Sus scrofa: one gene and its partner. The protein of the gene in region 1 purifies or fractionates together with the protein of each later gene. This does not show direct contact. Links are inferred from orthologs where the notes say so. Each region holds a gene or a part of one and is shown on either strand. Other genes may lie near its edges. The genes, in order: RAN and AKIRIN2.

The links.
Region 2: the proteins of RAN (region 1) and AKIRIN2 purify together in Homo sapiens (affinity purification with mass spectrometry; 3 studies listed by BioGRID and IntAct, counting the BioPlex papers as one, with this or other methods). This does not show direct contact. The link is inferred for Sus scrofa from reciprocal best matches to the Homo sapiens genes RAN and AKIRIN2.

The regions. Positions count from the first base shown.
Region 1 is NC_010456.5:24,315,205-24,319,743, reverse strand, and holds the start of RAN (GTP-binding nuclear protein Ran), read left to right. Parts: upstream 1-1,719; 5' UTR 1,720-1,981; intron 1,982-2,562; 5' UTR 2,563-2,572; coding exon 2,573-2,608; intron 2,609-3,039; coding exon 3,040-3,124; intron 3,125-3,204; coding exon 3,205-3,330; intron 3,331-4,525; coding exon 4,526-4,539. UniProt on the Homo sapiens protein: GTPase involved in nucleocytoplasmic transport, participating both to the import and the export from the nucleus of proteins and RNAs. Switches between a cytoplasmic GDP- and a nuclear GTP-bound state by nucleotide exchange and GTP hydrolysis.
Region 2 is NC_010443.5:56,047,125-56,050,045, reverse strand, and holds the end of AKIRIN2 (akirin-2), read left to right. Parts: intron 1-143; coding exon 144-293; intron 294-1,838; coding exon 1,839-1,910; coding exon of another isoform or gene 1,911-1,996; exon of another isoform or gene 1,997-2,164; coding exon 2,165-2,175; downstream 2,176-2,921. UniProt on the Homo sapiens protein: Molecular adapter that acts as a bridge between a variety of multiprotein complexes, and which is involved in embryonic development, immunity, myogenesis and brain development.

The DNA of each region.
Region 1 (4,539 bases):
GTGTAGGCCGGTGGCTACAGCTCTGATTCGACCCCTAGCCTGGGAACCTCCATGTGCCGCGGGAGCGGCCCAAAGAAATAGCAAAAAAACAAAAACAAAAACACAAAAAATAAATAAATAAATTTTAAAAAGCTGTACAGGAAACTCACAGTATAAGTTTATTTATACATTTTCCTATCAATGGACATTTACATAAAATTAATCTTTTGTTATTATCATATGGCAGGGAGCATTGGGATAACTTATCTCCTTGGGCATATGTGTGAGTTGAACTCTAGGGCATCTCCCTAGAAATGGAAATAGATGGTCATGAGCTATGGACATTAATGTGTGTTTTATTCCATTCTACTCTCCCAAGAGGCCAAACCAATTTACACTCTCACCAGGGGCATCAGCTCTACTTGATGTTTTCGTGGGGGGTGTCTAGGGAGTCCTCAGACTTGACTTTGCAGCAGGCATGTGCTCAGATGTGCTGTGTCCAATATATCACGAGTTCCCAGTAGACTAGCCTGCAAGTATGCTCAGGACTATGTGGCTAACTCCTTGGTCATTTGGGTTCTCTTTGCTCTGAGAAGAGTCCCCAAGGTGGAATCTTTTGAGGAACTTGGCTATCCTGATATGCTTGCTTGGGGAGAGGGGATCAACATATCAGTTTGAGGAGTTCCTTGTCGTGGCTCAGTGGTTAACGAATCAGACTAGGAACCATGAGGATGTGGCTTCAATCCCTGGACTTGCTCAGTGGGTTAAGGATCCGGTGTTGCCGTTAGCTGTGGTGCAGGTTGCAGAGGTGGCTCGGATCCTGCTTTGCTGGGGCTGTGGCGGAGGCGGGCATCTACAGCTGCGATTAGACCCCTGGCCTGGTAGACCCCTGGCCTGGGAATCTCCATAAGCGTTGGGAGCGGCCCTGAAAAAGGCAAAAAGACAAACAAAACCATATCAGTTTGAGAATCTGTGGCTGTTCAGACAAATGCCAAAACCTGGCCTTTAGATTTACGATGTGAGGTGGGAGGGCTCCGTTTGGCCAACGGCTTTGCTCAAAGCAAGTGAATGGGAATAACCAACACTTGTTGAGTTTGAGGTGTACCTCATTTTCTCTCTTGGACAATGGCCACAGGTGGATATGCCCTGGAGAATTAAGTTCTATGAGTGCACAGTTCTTGTCTGGACCCTTGACAGCCTTACCCTCACAAGAGTCTGGAACCTAAATACTCAATGACTGGAACCTAAATACTCAATGACTGCATGCCTGTTTGTCTCAGAAGAGCTGCCAAGGTGGAAACACTACATTGCATCATCCTGTTTGCAGAATAGGGCCACAAAGGCTGCTGACCACTTAGATGCTCAGAGAAAAAAGTGACTGGCATTTCAGGATGGGAAAGACATTGGTCTTTGCTTCTTTTACTCTCCAGAAGGTCCTTACTGAGATGGGGGTGAGGGTCAAGGGCAGGGGCCAGAATACCGGTGGGTGGGGGTGGGGCAGCACGCACCCCAACATGGCGCCCGCTCGGGGCCTGCGGTGCCGCGTTCGTACAGCTGCGAGGGGGGGGGGGGTCAAAGGCTTTGTGTGGGCCACCCCGCGAGTTTCCCGCCCAAGGGGGCCTCGGCCCTCTCCTCCCAGCTCTGTTCCCGCGGCGGCAACAGGGCGCGCCGCGTCGCTGTCAGCGCATGCGCGCGCGGGAACCCGCCCTCTAGGCTGGCGCACGTGGCCCGGCAGCCCGACGTGCGTGCGCGCGACCGCCGGGCCTCCCGCGTCCGGGGCTCCGGGAGCCTCTCCCTCCTGGACGACGGGTGCGGCCGCCAAAGCTGTGCTGTGTGCGTGTGCGCGCGCGCGCGCGCGCCGGGCCACGTGGGAGCGGCGCGGCGCCGTTGCCCCGCCCTCCCCCGGCGCGCGCCGGCGTCGTCTGCGTCTCCGGGCATTTGAATTGCGCTTCCGCCATCTTTCTAGCCCTCAGTCAGACGGGCGCGGAGACGCTTCTGGAAGGTAGCGGGGCAAGGGTGGAGGCCGAGGAGCCAAGGCGGGGATGGGGGGGTCGGGGCGTCCCGGTGGCTGTGGCTAGCGGCAGCCATGAGGAGGTGGTTTCGCGGGGCCTAGGTGTCAGGTGGAAAGCTCTCTTTCCTGGCCGCGGAGGCCCCGGGCCGGCGCCGGAACCCGGGCCGCAGTGGGCCGGGCGGGCGGAGAGGGTCCCCGGGGCGGCCAGGCGGAGGGGAGATCGGGCTGGAGGGTCCTGGCGGGGGCCAGGGGCGGCTGGGCCTGGTTGTGCTACCGTGACCAGGCGCTTTCCGCGCCCCGGTCTCCGCGCCGAGCGAGCCTCCCTTTCGCCCGGCCTCCGCGCCGACTGGGCGCGCGCCGGGCCCCGGCGGCCGGAGGAGCCCGGCTGAGGAGCAGCGCCGCCGTCGCCATTGGCGCGCCCTCGGCCGCCCGCGTGCGGTGTCGGGGGAGGGGGAGTGGGCGGCGGGGCTCCGGGTTGGAGGCCTTTGTGGGCCCGGGCACGTGGGGCGGGTCGGGCCATGCGGCCCGCGCCGCTGTGCAGCGGGCCTCACTTCTTTCTCCTTCTCTCGCAGTAACATCACGATGGCTGCCCAAGGAGAGCCCCAAGTTCAGTTCAAAGTAGGTAATCCTCGTGAGTTGGGGATCTGCTGCTGTGGACCTGAGGAGGGGATCTGCGGGGGGGGGGGGCTCTTGTCCAAACGGGTTTCACAGGGTCTCCTTTATGACCGCAAACCTGTGTCGAAGGCCCACTTCGTCTGCCAACATGTTCGTGCCGCGGCAGGGCCTTCAGCCCCCCGATAACGGGGTGGGGGTGCTGGCCCCACCCTACGGATAGGGAAGCTGGGCAAGGGAAGTTTCATTGGCTCCAGTCATTCATTAATATGGGACAGGGCAGCTTCATTAAGATTCTTTGTTTTAAATATACTTAAGGGATATTTAAAGTTCTGTTATGTAAGTGCAATGGGTGTCCATAAAATCTTAACTACATAATTCTGAGATCCTGAAATGTTGCGTGTCTTGGTGTTTATTTCAAAAATGTCTTTCGACAGCTTGTATTGGTTGGTGATGGTGGTACTGGGAAAACTACATTCGTGAAACGTCATCTGACTGGTGAATTTGAGAAGAAGTATGTAGGTACGTAGGGGAAAACCATTGATGAAGATGTGTGCGAAATGGATGAGTTCAGCGACTAACTGGAAGTGCTTGTGTTTCAGCTACCTTGGGTGTTGAGGTCCATCCCCTTGTGTTCCATACCAACAGAGGACCTATTAAGTTCAATGTATGGGATACGGCTGGTCAGGAGAAATTTGGTGGACTGAGAGATGGCTATTATATCCAAGGTAGGTGCTTGATTTGTAACCAACAGTTTTCGAGAGGATCTGTGAGTTGGTCTCCAAGGTTGCTTATAAATAATCCGATCTAGTCCAGTAGACTCATGCATAGTACTGACTGAACTGGGAATCGGGTAGTTGGATCCAAAGGATGTGCTGGCTTCAGGGACTTGACCATCATTTGAGGGGCAGAGAATTTTGTGAAGTTTGTTATGTGCCATTTGATTGTGTCATGATAGGCACGGTTTTGGAAGAAACTATGGTTTGTGTTCAGGCTCATAACTTAAAACGCCACAGACAAGCTGTTACTGGAGCTCCTGTATTTGAAAACTTGGGAGTGTTTGAATATATATTTTGGTGATTTCAACGATTATTTCTTGTGCACTCCATTGAAAAGGTAGTAAACATTTGAGCAGATGCTGGACCAGAGGAGCTAGGTCTTCTGTCTTATAAAATGTTGTATAGGACCAGCTGATTTCTTTTTAAATGTACTAGGTCTTGTGGAATATTTATTTCAAAGTGCTTGGTTTAAAAAATGGAAGGAAATAAGTGCTTATACCAAGAAAAAAAGATGAATAAAGAATGCTTATTTCCTAGAATCTTTCTCTTTTGATGAAAATTGTTGAGAATCTTTCCATGTCTTTTGCTTTCCTTGGGTACATACAAATGCAAGGATTCCCGCCAGCCAAATCTTTTAGCTACAAATCTGTGTGATACACTGTGCCTACTTAGTGGCTTAGCAGCCTTATTATGGCTGTTCTATAAGACAATAAATACGGGCTTCACTGAACTTTTGAAAACAGGCACACTATATATTCTCATGTATTTATCTATTTAAGAACCTTTTAAAGAATAGATTCTTACATCCTATATGTGGAAGGTGAGTTCTCTGGAATGCTAATTTATTGTTAATCTACATTGGGTATTTTTTTTTTGAATGAGGCAGAGTTTATGATGAATTACTACAGGTGGAGAGATTTCATATGGTAGGCTGGTCTTTCATGCTTTCACATACAATAAAAGAGAATTTAAAATAATGTATATTTAAATGGTCTAAGATTTTTAGAATTGGTATAGACCTTGCAATTGAATAGAGAAATTAGAGTTAGGCCTGAGATTATGAATCTGAGTCCATAGTTTTCAACATTTTTTTCATTTGGGTAGTAAATTCCTTGGTATGTACTAATTGCTGTACATTTTCCAGCTCAGTGTGCCATT
Region 2 (2,921 bases), on another chromosome or scaffold:
GACTAGGGAAATGCTTTTTCTTTCTAGTGATAGAAAAATGCTTGTATTTGAACATTGAAAAGATCCAGATGAAACCTAAATTAGATGGTGCTTTCTGTGATGGCTCTGAACGTTGTGCTTTTTGTTCTTTATGTTTTATTTAGGGACTCCATCAGCAACGTCCTCACCATTAAAAAAAGAACAGCCCTTATTCACCCTACGGCAGGTTGGGATGATCTGTGAACGTTTATTGAAAGAACGTGAAGAGAAAGTTCGAGAAGAGTATGAAGAAATACTGAACACAAAACTTGCAGGTATGAGATGAATTTTATGAGTCTCCCAGAAATTCATCCTAGAGTTTGTTAAATGCATTCTATCCCACATGTACTTTATGTCAAATTGCCCTTTCTGTACACTGGCACAGGGTTCTTTTCTAAGAATCAGAGCTTTTCTTCTTTTCTGTCTCTCTTTTTGGTTTGTTTGTTTGTTTTTTTTGTTTGTTTGTTTTTTTTTGGCTGCACCCATGGCATGTGGAAGTTCCTGGGCCAGGAATCAAACCTGTGCTGTAGCAGTGACCTGAGCACAGTCTTAACCCACTGTCCACAAGGGAACTCCAGAGCTAGAGAATTTCAATTCAAGAAAGGAAATGAACTTTTCTATAGCTCCTGGCATTCCTGAGTGACCTTAAGAAATAGTATTGGGAGTTCCCATCGTGTCAGCAGTTAATGAACCTGACTAGCATCCATGAGGATGTAGGTTCGACCCCTGGCCTTGCTCAGGGGGTTAAGAATCCAGTGTTGACGTAAGCTGTGATATAGGTCACAGACATGGCTCGGATCTGGTGTTGCTATAGCTGTGGTGTAGGCCAGCAGCTATAGCTCCAATTTGACCCCTAGTCTGGGAAACTTCCATATGCTTTGAGTGCGGTCCTTAAAAGCAAAAAAAAAAAGGAAGTATTCATTAGCTATGAGATCACCAGCAGTATTAGGGAATTAGGTTTTTCTTTTGATGTACCCATGTTTGACTTTGTCTATTTATCTCGACTTGGTTGGGGTTTTTTTTTTTTTTTTTTTTTTTTGTTAGGGCCACACCCATGGCATATGAAGTTCCCAGGCTAGGGGTTCAGCTGGAGCTGCAGCTGCAGCCTACACCATAGCCACAGCAACGCGGGGTCCAAGCCTCATCTGTGACGGCAACAGCGGATCCTTAACCCACTGAGGGAGGCCAGAGATCAAACGCACATCCTCATGGATACTAGTCCGATTCATTTCCACTGCACTATGACCAATAGCTCCCAGCTGTGGGTTTTTTGACTGTGTCTTTTATGATAATTTTGCTATCAGTCTGGACACTTGAATTTAACTGGCACCTACTGCAGTCTTCTTTTAAACTATCAAAAAATTTTTTTCCTGTAAAACTTGCTAGTTTAAGGTGCAATAAATAAAACTTATTTGTGGTAACTTAATCAGAATTTTCCCCTGGCTTTTAAGCCACAGATTTTACTGGATTTGATATTAGAAGCTTGATTAAGGAGTTAGGTGCAAATATAGGCGAGAATTTTTTTTTTTTTTTTTTTGGTCCTTTTTTAGGGCGGCACCTGCAGCACATGGAGGTTCCCAGGCTAGGGGTCGAATCAAGAGCTGCAGCTGCCAGCCTGCATATACCACGGCTACAGCAACGCCAGATCTGTGACCTACACTACAGCTCACGGCAACACAGGATCCTTAGCCACTGAGCAAGGCCAGGGATTGAACCTGTGTCCTCACGGATGCTAGTCATTTGTTTCTGCTGAGCCATGATGGGAACTCCCTAGGTGAGAATTTTTAAGTCATGTAATTGATGTCTATCTTTATTTACAGAACAATATGATGCATTTGTGAAGTTTACGCATGATCAAATAATGCGACGATATGGAGAACAGCCTGCTAGTTGTAAGTATTTCATCTTTGAACTGAAAACAAGACAGTATTTTAAGAAGACATTTATTATCGTCTATATACCCAAGAAGAAAATTTAACAGAAAATCCTGGAGGAAAAGTTTGGAGGAAATGAGCAGCAAAACTTTACTAAGGCTTACTTTTGGTTACTTAAATACGTAAGGCAATATATTAGGGATGAAGATCTGGTATGTGTTTAAATTTTTTGACCTGAACTTTGCACTAATTTTCGTTTTTTCCTCCTTTAGATGTTTCATGAATCACGTTTTCTGCAGTTGTGGGCTGCCTTGTTCCTTGTTGAGTTGTTGCAAGAGGTCCCAATTATGACATGCAGCAATGCCAATACCCCCTGTGAATACAGGTTATTTCAAGCTTTTGTCAGTGGCAACCACTCTTAGGCAGCAACTGGTTTTGGAAATTTCCCTGATGTCAATACCACCCGGATGTGGACATTTGCTACCTGTATTAATGCCAGTGGCCTCATTTGCTGTATCATTACAATTTGGCTTCTTATATTAATGTTTGAAAAAGATTAAAGCTGGTATTCTAAGAACATGCCCTTCACTGGTTGTGTAAATAAAACTGTAGAATGACACTTCAGATGAAGTTAGTGTGATTTTAATTGTGCACTACAACCAAGATGTAACCAGTTATTAATAATTTAGAATGTAATCCCAGGACATTATTAAGCAAATAGCCTACAGTGCTTCCTGTGAAATAGTGAAGGAGGAGGGCATTTCTGTATTCCAGGACTTTTCTTGGGGTTTCAGAATGGGTTTATATGATTTCCTTTTTTTTTTTTTTTTGGTAGTTTTTATTTATTCTCTCAGTCTTTTTAACAAATGTTTATTGCTGCATTTTTTCCCCCCAGTGTATCATTATTGTTTTACTACCCTTGTAGTACTGGAATTTAGTTGGAATAAAACATTTACTTCTAACCTGCTTGTTTTTAATGTACAGATGGGTAGTATTTGAATAAAGCTAGTGTTTTAAATGTAAGCATTT